Linked DNA regions of Caenorhabditis elegans. The protein of the gene in region 1 purifies or fractionates together with the protein of each later gene. This does not show direct contact. Each region holds a gene or a part of one and is shown on either strand. Other genes may lie near its edges.

The links. Proteins that work in one complex are often made in the same cells at the same time.
Region 2: the proteins of fos-1 (region 1) and fbxa-215 fractionate together in Caenorhabditis elegans (co-fractionation; one large-scale study listed by BioGRID). This does not show direct contact.

What each region holds. Positions count from the first base shown.
Region 1 is NC_003283.11:6,006,617-6,014,570, reverse strand, and holds the start of fos-1 (Transcription factor fos-1), read right to left. Parts: upstream 6,006-7,954; coding exon 5,748-6,005; intron 3,879-5,747; exon of another isoform or gene 3,824-3,878; intron 3,471-3,823; coding exon 3,401-3,470; intron 3,356-3,400; coding exon 3,219-3,355; intron 1,291-3,218; exon of another isoform or gene 1,168-1,290; intron 1,062-1,167; coding exon 948-1,061; intron 353-947; coding exon 1-352. UniProt on the Caenorhabditis elegans protein: Developmentally regulated transcription factor which binds and recognizes the enhancer DNA sequence 5'-TGA[CG]TCA-3'.
Region 2 is NC_003282.8:13,664,815-13,668,804, reverse strand, and holds fbxa-215 (F-box domain-containing protein), read left to right. Parts: upstream 1-1,895; 5' UTR 1,896-1,908; coding exon 1,909-1,982; intron 1,983-2,025; coding exon 2,026-2,235; intron 2,236-2,293; coding exon 2,294-2,377; intron 2,378-2,421; coding exon 2,422-3,058; intron 3,059-3,114; coding exon 3,115-3,315; 3' UTR 3,316-3,441; downstream 3,442-3,990.

The DNA of each region.
Region 1 (7,954 bases):
TGATATTTTGAATACATGAGATTGGAGGAAGAAGTAATTGATCAATTGAAGGCTTATAGTCCTCAACTGGTGAGTGTTGTTCAGACGATGAAGATGAATGTCCTGATCGAATAGAATATGGTACAGAGTCAGCACGTGGTGGATGAACTCTCAACGAATGTTGAAGATATGGTTGTGATGGTGGAACTGTTGATGGTGGGATTATCAATCGATTTATCTCATGTGTTCGTTCTTCGCGACTCAGTTTACAATCATGCGTTTCCAAATAGTTTTTGAGACTGTTGAGCTTATTTCGGATGTTGTTGCATTCCGCCATTTTTTTGTCGTTGCTATTTTTGAAGTCATTTACTTGCTGAAAATAGATCGTGAAATTTATCTTTAATACAATGTTGAAACTTCCTATTTTGAAGTCTAAAAAAACCTATAAGTGTGGTTTTTTTTCAAAATGAAACTGAAATATATTGCAAATCATAGTGAATTTATAAGTTAAAAAATGTTTGAAAGTTAATTATAAAAACTACTAAATTCTTGGAACTAGGCCCAAAACTGTTTTCTGAAATATTTAAAATTTTGAATTTTTTACCGGCATTTCTGAATCTAGAACATTGCAATCAATTTTAAATTTTGTTTTCTATGAAAACGTTCTGTTATTGAGTTAAGAAGATTCCAATAGAAATAGTCAAAACTGGGCCAGCAAGTTGTCAGCTGCTATAACTTTTTCCAGGGTGAGATTGCTAACAATTTTCCAACGGCAAAAATGTAGCCAAAGTTATCATCAACATTTTGCTTGTTGAAAGTATTTAGAGAAGCTGTATAGTTTTTGAGTTATGCTTAACTGAAAATTGCTTCAAAATTTAAGTGTTCACTAAAGGTAGATACCCCACTGCAATTAAAATATCCTAATTTTTTATTTGGTGAATGTAATTATTTTTGAATAAAACTATTACATCTTGCAATTCCTTCATCAAATCAATTCTCCTTTGCCGACATCTTGCAGCAGCTTCTTTATTCCTTTGACGACGTTTCAGCCTCTTATCATCATCGTCATCCTCCATATTATCCTGAAAATCATTGACTCTAAGTTTCCGTATTTTGAGGATTTGTTAATATTTTCTCTGATTACTCAAAAGATTATCCATTTCGTTATATTTCTTGTCAAGTGGCTCATTTTCCCCTCTGCTTGGGGTGGGTGTCTCTCTAAGCTTTTAGGTGAAGACTGGGAAGGTAGGGTGTACGAAAGAGCGAGGGATGTAGATACAATATTGCGTGATGACTAATATATTTACTTTGCATAGTGTACCTGGTGGGCAGGAAAGGGCGTCTATCTAAAAATGAAAAAAGAAATGGACGAAAGAAGGGCAAGAGCATTCAATTTGTAAATATATTATGAGTAGTGCCCAAAGTTTGACTACTGCAAATTTTAACTTTATCAGTTTTGAAGGCTCGGGTTGGAATTTTTGTTCAGCAAAACTAATTCAACTAAATGTTTTTTTCATAAATGTATTTCTAGGTAAGCGTAACAGACAAGAAAAAGTTGCCAAGCTCAGAAAGTTAGAAAAGTAACCAAGTAACTTAGAGCAAAATTAAACTAAAAAATCAAAGTCTACTGTAATTTTGAAATTTAGATTTATCAGTAACTTTTCAATGTCGGCAAACCTAATGTAAATTATGGGTAAATTCCACTGAATACCGTAATTTTCCTATTTGGCTTACATTCTTTTTTTCGAAATTTTTCAAAATTCAAAGACTTTTTGGTAAACCAAAAATGACCGTATTATCCAGGTTAAGGATATCAGGGAAATCTAACTTGAAATGGTACAAACCCCTTTCAATATATAATTGCTTTGACCTACCCGCCATAGTAACTTCCCTCGTCCATAAACGTTAATCTACAGTACTTCTATTTTTTCCGCGTCATACTTAATTGTTATCAGTACGTTAGTGGTGACTAATTTCGCAATGCCACTGTTAATTCTAGATGCTTCTTTTGCATGTTCATGAAACCATCACAAAAATACATAAGCAAGGTCGTATCAACCTTCAAAGCTCCATCAATCTTACCATATAGATCGCAGTTTTATTGTGATACTGCCACGTCATCTCAACGGTTTGAAGAAACACCGAAATGTTTGGAAACAAGAATTGAAAAAAAAAATAGACTAGAGTAGCAGAGAGAGGTTTCAGTGAAAATGAGTCAGATTCGAATGACTAGCTTTGGCTTGCAATGATGACGAAATTTGAGAGCGTTCTATGGGACAGTGTATGAGTCAAAAACGAAAAATGAAAACTGTGAGTCATTTGAGAGGAGTTGAAGGTGTTGCCATGAACATACACACTCGAATCTCCACCCACTGCCTAGTTCTCATACCTGCCTACTTGTTTTTGTCTACTGTGTCTCAAGTTTCTAATCGCAAACTCTTATATTTTTGTAATAGAAAGCAGCTATTCGCCCAATACGTTCGTTTATATTTATTTCTGGCTATACTTACAAAAATGCCCCACTGAAGTTTTGAAATATTCAAAAATCATGCTTGTCATGCCGGCATATACCACATTCAAAAAGTGAGTTTTGTCATTTAAACTTTATAATGGCTGTCTATCAAAAATAAATTATTGAGTGAATACGGCGAGCTAAACTTTGTTACTTAAAATAAGCATGAAGAACTTTCAAGTTGGCATTTTAATTTTCAAGTTGACGCAAATCGCTTAATTGTAAAAAATGTCAATGCTAGAATATTGTATTTTGAATGTTTCGGAGCTTATCTTTTCTTTTTTAATTTGAAATCCAATTATTCAAATTTTTCAAAAAACTTTCTTGGCTCATATATCTCGACGTATTTTTGAACTATTATTGTAAATCATGTTTTAAAAACTAGAGAAAAATACGTAACAATCTTTTTTGCTATACTTTGACGGCTCATATCGCGGCTGTCATAAGCTTTATTGAATATGTTTTACTATCATAATATAAAAAAATATTTTGCACGTTTTTTGTGAGTTGACAAAGTTTTGATAAAACCAAAGAGAACTGGGATATGCTCTGTCAAGGTAAAACGAGGGGGCAAGCCTAGTAGGAAAAATACGGCAAATTGCTAAAGTGTAGTAGTGGATATTCTAGAATAGCAGCAACTCGGTTTTAAACAATAATTCAAATTTTTAGTAAGTAACTTAACTAACCCATAACTAAGTAACCCATAACTTGTAGATAACTTGCCCACCTCTTCTTTAGGTTTTCTCCCAGCCGACGATTTCTTCACCGTGCTATACTGTACCATAGGCGATGAAGCTGCCGTCGAGTAGAAATCGGTGAATGTTCGATTGTAGATTTGATTAGTCGGGATTGCTGGGATCGGACCTGAAGTTTCCATGCTCGTGGACCTTAATTATATCTCTTGCTTACCAAATGGATGTGGCGTAAGTGGCGAGCTGATGTTCGGTGTGAGCGGAGATGGGATATCAGATGGTTGGAACTGAAATTAGTTTTATAGCACGAATATTTGGCATATCTATATATCTTCCTTCCACAATTTTTTATTCTACCTATTTAATTCAATTTAATTAATTTCAACTTCTAAACTCTTACATCCTCCTCATATCCATAATTAAAATTGTAACTATCGTCATATGGGTTCGCCCCAAACATCCATGATACGTCCTGATGAGTCATTATGTAATGACGTGACACTTGCAGTTCTAGAGGTGAGTGAGCAATGAGTATTATGATATTGATAAGCAAATCAAGAAAATAGTGGAACGGCAGTGATGATGAAGATGATGAAGTGTGTGTATAGGTGAAGGGGGAAAGAACGCCCCGCCCATTCTAGGAGGAAATACGGTATTTGTTTGACGATTGACTATAGGACTAAAGGCGGACTGTGAAGAAAGAGAGATGGTTTACGACTCAAGACACTTCAAAAACTATAATCTTTTTTTTGGCAATTAGATAGCAGTATAAGCAAAAATTTTCAAAAGACGTAGAGTGATAAAATGAACCGTAATAACCAGAATTCGTTGTCCTGATGACCTACATCAAGCAAAAATTAAAAGAAAACATTTATGTAAAACTCAGAATATAAAAAAGTTGTTTCACTTTTTGCTCTATTTCAGCGAATTATATCTGTATTGTTCCAACTGATGAAATATGTTTCAAATATTTTCGTAAATTTTGATAATTTAATACCGTATTTCTTCTATTAATATGGCTGCAATACTATTTTTCGATTCCTTCCCGCTTGCAATACTAATAGGGAGTGCAAGACTATTATGGAGTGCAATACTAATTTTCAGAACATTTTCTGACTTTGAGCTTACTAGTTTTTTCCTGAAAAAGCTCGAATCATATGTAAAAATTCAGAAAATTTGATTTTCATATAAGTTCAAAAACTTCAATCTCGTAGAAATGATGTGAAAACTGTTGCCAAATAGGCAAAAAATGTTGTTGAAATCCTGAAATTAGCGAGACGGGTTTGCAATACAAAAAAGTTAACGCAAGACTATTAGAGAGTGCAAGACTAATAGGGAGTGCAATACTAATTTTCGGAAGGTCTCCGAGGGGCAATACTAATAGGGAGTGCAAGTCTAATAGGGAGGCCATATTAATAGAAGATATACGGTAATTTAAAATCTACTTATCAAAGCCTATCAAAAACCAACAAAGCAGAAAGATGGGTATTCTACATTGGTGCGTTCGCTAGAAATAGTTTTTCTTTCAGTAAGTGTTGGAAATTGATAATTAAAAGGTTTCAATTGTCTTATCATTTTTTTATCAACTCTTCCTTTTTCACCGTCATTTGTCAAAATTCTCAGTGGGTTAAACTGATTTAGAACTGAAAAGAATACTGTTTCACACCTACATGTTCAAAATGAAATAGAATACCTGTGAATATAATTGTTCTGAGTTCACATTTGCCAGTTTATTACATTTTTTGTTAAAGTTTGTTTTATTTACAAATAAAGCTCAAAAATTATTTTTGTAAGTCTGGTCTTCAGCGACAATAATTCTAAGAAAACTGGTAAAAAGTTGTCAGCGCAAAGAAGGAACGCTAAAACACGTGATCTCTTTTTATTCGTAGGTCCCAAGCTCAAAGCAGAAGTGACAGATATTTTTTGAATATTTAAAAAATTTGCGTGCCTGTAATATTTTCACTGGCACCGAAAAAAGTTAACATATAAGTATTACTTATCTTTTTTCAACAGGTGCAAACAGGAAACAATCCAAAACGGATTAGCGAGTGCATGAGAGGTAAAGAAGATCACAAAAGTAACAATTGGGGGAAAGGTGAAAGATAGATAGATTACTGTAGAAGTGTGTAAACACGTCGGCATCTTCTTTTAAGATTCCTCGTGCACCACCTATCCATATACATTTAATCCATAACCAAATAGTTTTATTTTTCCGGAACTAAAATCCGGGGGAGATGGCTGGTAAGAACATTTTTGAGGGAAAAGATTCAAGAGCTAGGTAACTTTTTTCTGCATGACTTTTGCACAAAAGAATTAGTGAACGCTTTACTTTTTGGTTTGATACTTTCAGAATTAATATTAAACTAAATGAAAGTAAGCTACTATAATCTCATTTTTATATGGGAAAGAAGAGATCAACTGACAAATGTAAGGCTCGAGGTTGAGTGAAAAATGAGTGAAAGTAATGATTTAAAAGCTCTATCAAAACTCGTGATTATTAGCAAGGGAATAGTGGACTTTGAAGTAAACACTGAATTAAGGAAGATATTTGTGATGTATCATACCTGCAGGAAATCAGTTCCAAAGAATAAAGGGAGTCCATATGCATTTGATGGATAATATGGTGTACACGGAGTTAGAGGTGAGTTGTCGGTTTGTTGTTGGTGGATCTGATGGTGATGTTGTCGCGGTGGAACAATGACTGATGTCGGGTGCGCTTGGTTGATCGGGTTCCTGGGACCCAATTCGAAGTAGTGATTGGAATCGGAGCCAGAACCAGAGCTCGTGGTGGTGTTAGTCGTCGACGATGGTTGTTCGAACATTCCACTCTCTTATATAGCAGAGGTGCTGACACACGATCGGGGCCAAACACAGAAGGTGAGTAACCGGGAATAGAAGTGGAAAAAGTAGGGGGAAGAAAAGGGATTCTGATTCACGAAGATGACTCTTCTAGGTGATGATTAGCACAACACGGGTTGATTGTATCTTTGGACAGGGGACCAGCGATGACAAAAGTAAGTTGCGTGTGTGGGCAGGTGTTTGGTTGAGAGAAGAAAGGAGCGAGGGAAAGAGAAAACTGTCGAGAGCAACGGCCACCGCGAACGGTGCGCAAGCTCCGCCCACACCTTCGGGAGGACGACACCAAATTTGAATTTTCAAAGAGCCACCGCCAATGATATCACCAAGAAAACGCCGGCTGGTGACGGGGTGGCCGACGGAACTGTGTATTAAAGTGCACGAGAGTTTTTGATAACTTTTGATTTCGAATATGTGACAATTGACTAGATGGTGGGTGTACGGTATTTATGTAACATACAAAAAAAAACAGAAACTGTCGAGAAAGGAGACAAAAAAGGCGAACCATTGGGTGCTTTCTGTTTAGATATTGATGGTGAGTCAGCAACATCGAAGACGAGATGGGAAACAAAAAATGGTATTGTTTGGGATAGAAGAACCGGAGACGTCGTCGTCTTCCCTTCTTTTATTCTACAAAAGTATGACATTCCGGGGAGCAGGTGCTCTCTTTGCCAATTCAGCTAATTATTTCTTCTGTGAAGCTTCCCGAGTTTCTAACTCAAATAACCCAATTGGCATTTGGCTCGTTGATTGCAGAGAAGAGGTGATGAATACCGATGATTCAGTGCGATGCGTGCACGCGGAACGAAGGATGACACTAACAGGTATGTGTCGTTTGTTGACCCAAAAGCAACAGCAACATTTAAATATTTGGATGGATGTCTAAGTCTATAAATTTAACAGGCAATAAACTTTTAATAACCTTTTTGGATGAGAGGGGCCTAGCTCAAATAAAATAAAATCTAAACGTTTACAGCTTATATCAGTTGTCATTTGTTCTATTGAGAAATTGCCAACTGACAACATTTTTCAAAAATTATTTGTCTGTCGCTTGAATTTACTTATTCACTAATATCTTCACAATGGACCGAGCTGTTACTTTTTTAAAATGGCGCAGTAGAGTAGTAGAGGACAAATAGAGGAAATATTATAATTTAAATTTTGAAATTGCATGCCATACTAATGAAAGACATGAGGTAGTCATCAAACATTGGGTGCAAAATAATCATTTACTTGTTTCAAGAAAGTATTTCCAATTTCTATGAAACATGCTATACTTTCGTTATGATCTGAAGCTAGGTTGCATTTTGAAAACAACATTTGAGCTTTCTGAAACTCAGTCCAATCAAGGGCTGTACAGCCAGCTTCTGCTGACATCGATCTTGATTAGACTGACACCGAGCTCAATAGATTTACCAGAGCCAGGAACTTATATTGATGCGATCTCAAAAAAGCTCAGCTTCCAAAACATTTTATCATATTTTCAATATGACTACCCGTTACGGAAATTTTTTAAAAATATTTACAAGTTCAAAACCGAGCTACAAATATCTCCAAAAAGATTTTCAATAATTCATCAATTTACTCGAAATATTTTAAATCAGGGGACGTTTTGGCCAGTAAATCATGAAATGTTAACTTCCAAGCTCCAATAAAAAGACTACCAAATCTCTGAAACTTTTCCAGCTTCTGATGTTTAAAATTCAAAATGTTCTGTTTGTACAGTACAACAGTTTCACACTTCTTTTTTCCCAAATCTTTTCAATTTCCTTCTACTCCCTTGTTTCTTCCCGATCGTGCCCTAGATAGTACTCCAATCACAATAGACGCAGAAAATGCACTTTTTCCACCTTTTCCCTTTTTCTTGAATGACGTGATACCGGTGTGTGCGTACCGGTGCCGAAATGAAAAGACA
Region 2 (3,990 bases), on another chromosome or scaffold:
ACACATTGTCATTATCAGGCTTTCGAAAAAATTCTACAGAGCTATACTTTTTTTTTATTTACTTAAAAACTTTCTTTAACTGGAGAAGTCTGAAGAATTAATTACTAAGTTCTTTGAACATTGCTGTAGCAAAACAAAGAAAAAGTCCTACAGGGGTTCTAGAACATTCCAGAATTTTCCCCAATTTTTCAGTTCTTGAAACTTCCAGAAGGTACTAAAACAAAAATAGTTTCACAGAAAACTTGAATTTCCCTCAAAACAATGTTCTCATAAATTTTGAATTTCCCGCCCAAATTTTTAAGGGTCTCACCACAATGGGTCTCAGGTCTCACCACAATGGGTCTCAGCAAGGTCTCACCACAACAATTCCAGAATTTTCACGAATTTTTCAGAAGGTTCTAGAAAATTCAAGAATTTTTTTTCGAATTTTCCAGAAGGTTCTAGAACATTCCAGAATTTTCTCGAATATTCCAGAAGGTTCTAGAACATTCCAGAATTTTCTCGAATATTCCAGAAGGTTCTAGAACATTCCAGAATTTTCTCGAATATTCCAGAAGGTTCTAGAACATTCCAGAATTTTCTCGAATTTTTTAGAAGCTTCTAGAACATTCCAGAATTTTCTCGAATTTTTCAGGGGCTTCTAGAACATTCCAGAATTTTTTCGAATTTTCCAGAAGGTTCTAGAACATTCCAGAATTTTCTCGAACTTTCCAGAAGGTTCTAGAACATTCCAGAATTTTCTCGAATTTTTCAAAAGGTTCTAGAGCTTTCCAGAATTTTCCAGAAGGTTCTGGAACATTCCAAAATTTTCCCGAAGTTTCCAATTTCCCTTCCAAAGACGGATAGTCAATTTTTCCCAAACTACAATAATCCTACAGTACTCCTACAGTACCTCTCCAGTACTACTACAGCACCCCGACCATATCCCACTACTAACCCCAAACCTATATCTCTTCAAAAGACAAAAGCTCAATTTTTCCTAAACTACAGTAATCCTACAGTACTCCTACAGTACCTCTACAGTACTACTACAGTACCCCGGCCATATCCCACTACTAACCCCAAACTAATATCCCTCCAACAGCCGAAAACGCCTTGCCTTTGTAAGCTATGACGTCACAGACTACAAACTACGGCACAAACGGAATTATTTTTTTTATATATAGGTTTTATATATAGGATTTTTAATACGAGCATTTGGCTTCCCAAGCTTTCATAATCGCGACGAGGCCTAATTGTTGATTTATCGGGGTATGTTTTCTCATCAAATTCTTTGTACCGCGCATGTATGAAACATTTGAACAGGTGTGTCCTTGTGATCTTCATGGGATGTAATTTCGGTAGTGGTTTGATCCAAAAGCTCAATTCAAAATGGAAACCATGGAAATGAATATTTTAACGCTAACAATTTAACTCTGAGATGCACTTTTTCAGAACAACAGCACACTTTAAAAGTTATGCGATCGATTGAAAAATTGATTAAAATTGATTAATCAATTTAATTGGTGATTTTAAAACTTCGAGTACTGTAGCCAAAAGTGGTTGCGTACTTGACACATTTGACGCGCAAATGCACAGAGACTCCATTTTGGGATTTTCAGATCGTTTTTTTTAAAGTTTACTCGTTTCTCTTCGTTTTTTGTTCGTCAATTTATTTTTTTGTATAAGAAAAATATAAAAATACTAGTTTTAAGTAATTATATGGAAAAATCCCAAAAAATGGATTTTTCAGACTTGAAATTTGTTCAAAAAATTGACCTACCAAACAAACAAACATAAAAAACATTTAGCGCTAAATATTCAATTTTCGTTGAGAATTCTTTGTTTTCCATGTTCACATTCACTTCTTCCAAATTTTCCTCGCGTTTTCCATTAATAAAATTATATTTTTACAGATAAAATCTTAAAATGAGCGAAGCTCCTCACTCTTCCAGCATGGCGGATAGCAATTCCACAGTAGAACAATATCGTTCGTTGAAACGGTGAGTAATTGAAAATTAGATTCTAAAAATCATGATTTTCCAGGAAAATGATCGAGAAAAAGGATCTGATGAGAAACAATCGAACAGCACTTCGCGCATGTATCCTGTTCAATTGTCTCCTCGGAACTTCAATACGAGACGCTTATAATCAATTTTGCCGAGCCGTTGGATCCGATGTTATGGAATATCGAGAATACGAGTTCTGGTTCTATCAATTTAAAAGAGGAGATGCTGATTTCAGCGATGCAATTAGGTATTTTCAGAGACTTCAAAGAAATCAATAATTTCATTTTTAAAAAATTGATTTTCAGTTGGAATCCAAACACAATAAAGCTTGATGAATTGCCAATCGAAGTGATTAATACGATTTCCAGCTTCTCTATGCCAATGGAGAGGTTTGTTAGCCAGTTTTATTCAAATTTAAAATGAAAATTTTCAGACTAACGCTTCGAAAAGTGTCTAAAAACCTGCGCACACTCATCGATTCTGAGCCGTTTTGTTTCCAAAGGATTATAGTACGAATTGGACATCGAACATCGTATCTTCAATTGGACGGTTATCCGGGAATTGAATATATTCATTGTGGTGCCGATTGCAATGTTTTATATGGAAAACGTGATAAATATGTTAAAAACAAGAATCACGTTGAATATGCTCTGACGGAAGCCATTCAATTGATGAGAAATTCAAATAATCACAGCAAAGAGTTCCACGTGAGAGCAGAACGATCAAACGATCAGGAATTGTCAATGGTTCTCAGGAAATTTTTCGATTCTGTGGAAATTGAGCTTTATGCGAAGAAAATTGTCGTCAGTGGATTCAGTTTTGCCGATACATCTTCGGTTCTTTGCCATTTCAAAGCGGGATTTCTCGAGGAAATTCAGGTGTTACCGGGTTCCGGTGGCCCGTGGACCAACGTACTCGTCGAAATGGAACAATACAAGAAGGCAAAAGTATTGAAGATTTGCACGGAATTTCCAGTTTTACTGGATATCGAGGATTTGCTGCATTTCCGACGGTTCGAAATTGCGATAAAATCAGATTTCACTGAAAGAATGGCCAGAAAAATTCGCGATGTAAGTTTCCATTTTAATTTTCGTAAGTTTTAAATTTAATTTAATTTATTTTCCAGGTTCTCACCAATTCTGAACATTTCGAATATGCCCACATAATAACTCAAGATCTTCACCATCGGACAGTCATTAAATTCTTCAATCGAAATGCTGAAAATGTATTCTGGAATTATGGATCCATGAATTATAATAACAAGAAGCGCCTCTTCCACATTGAGTACAATCACCGACAATTTGTAATCAAAAAATTAAACATGTAGATAATCAAACAAAAATTGCCTTCTTCTCGAAAATGTATGTACTGATATTTGATTTGCACACTTACCCCTTGTTTTACTCTTTTTACTCTGAGATTTTTCTTGCAATAAACCTTTGTTCAGGTTAAAAATAAAGCACATTATCACGAAAAAAAAACTGTCAAAGAATAACTGAATTCACAAAAAAGTTTCGGTTCTTGCAAATTTTCAAATTCAGTTTTAAATTGTTCCATTGTCATACACTTTAGCAGACCTGCTCATATTTAACATTATACAGAAAATGGAGATAAATTGGAAATAAAAAATATTGATTCATCATTTCTGATGAACGGAAGAAGTCGGGTTTATTGCCTCTTGGGTTATACAGTCCTGCTCCCCGAAAAATTTACTGTTTCACCCAGCTAGCAAAAACACTGAAGAATTCTCGAGTGACTGTTTTGTCATTTAATTTGAACTAAACATCAGCTCCAATGACCTTCTCTGAAATATTTTTGTCTCTAAAAACCTGAAAATATATGCAGAAACAAAAAAAACTAAAATTGTCGAATTTTAAGTTTTTTATAAAAACCCCAAAAATGGCAGTACATTTCAAAATTCGGCTCTTGTCTTGTATAGCCCTGCTCTCGAAAAAATTTACTGTTTCACTCAGCTAGGAAAAGTATTTTCAAAAATTCTGAC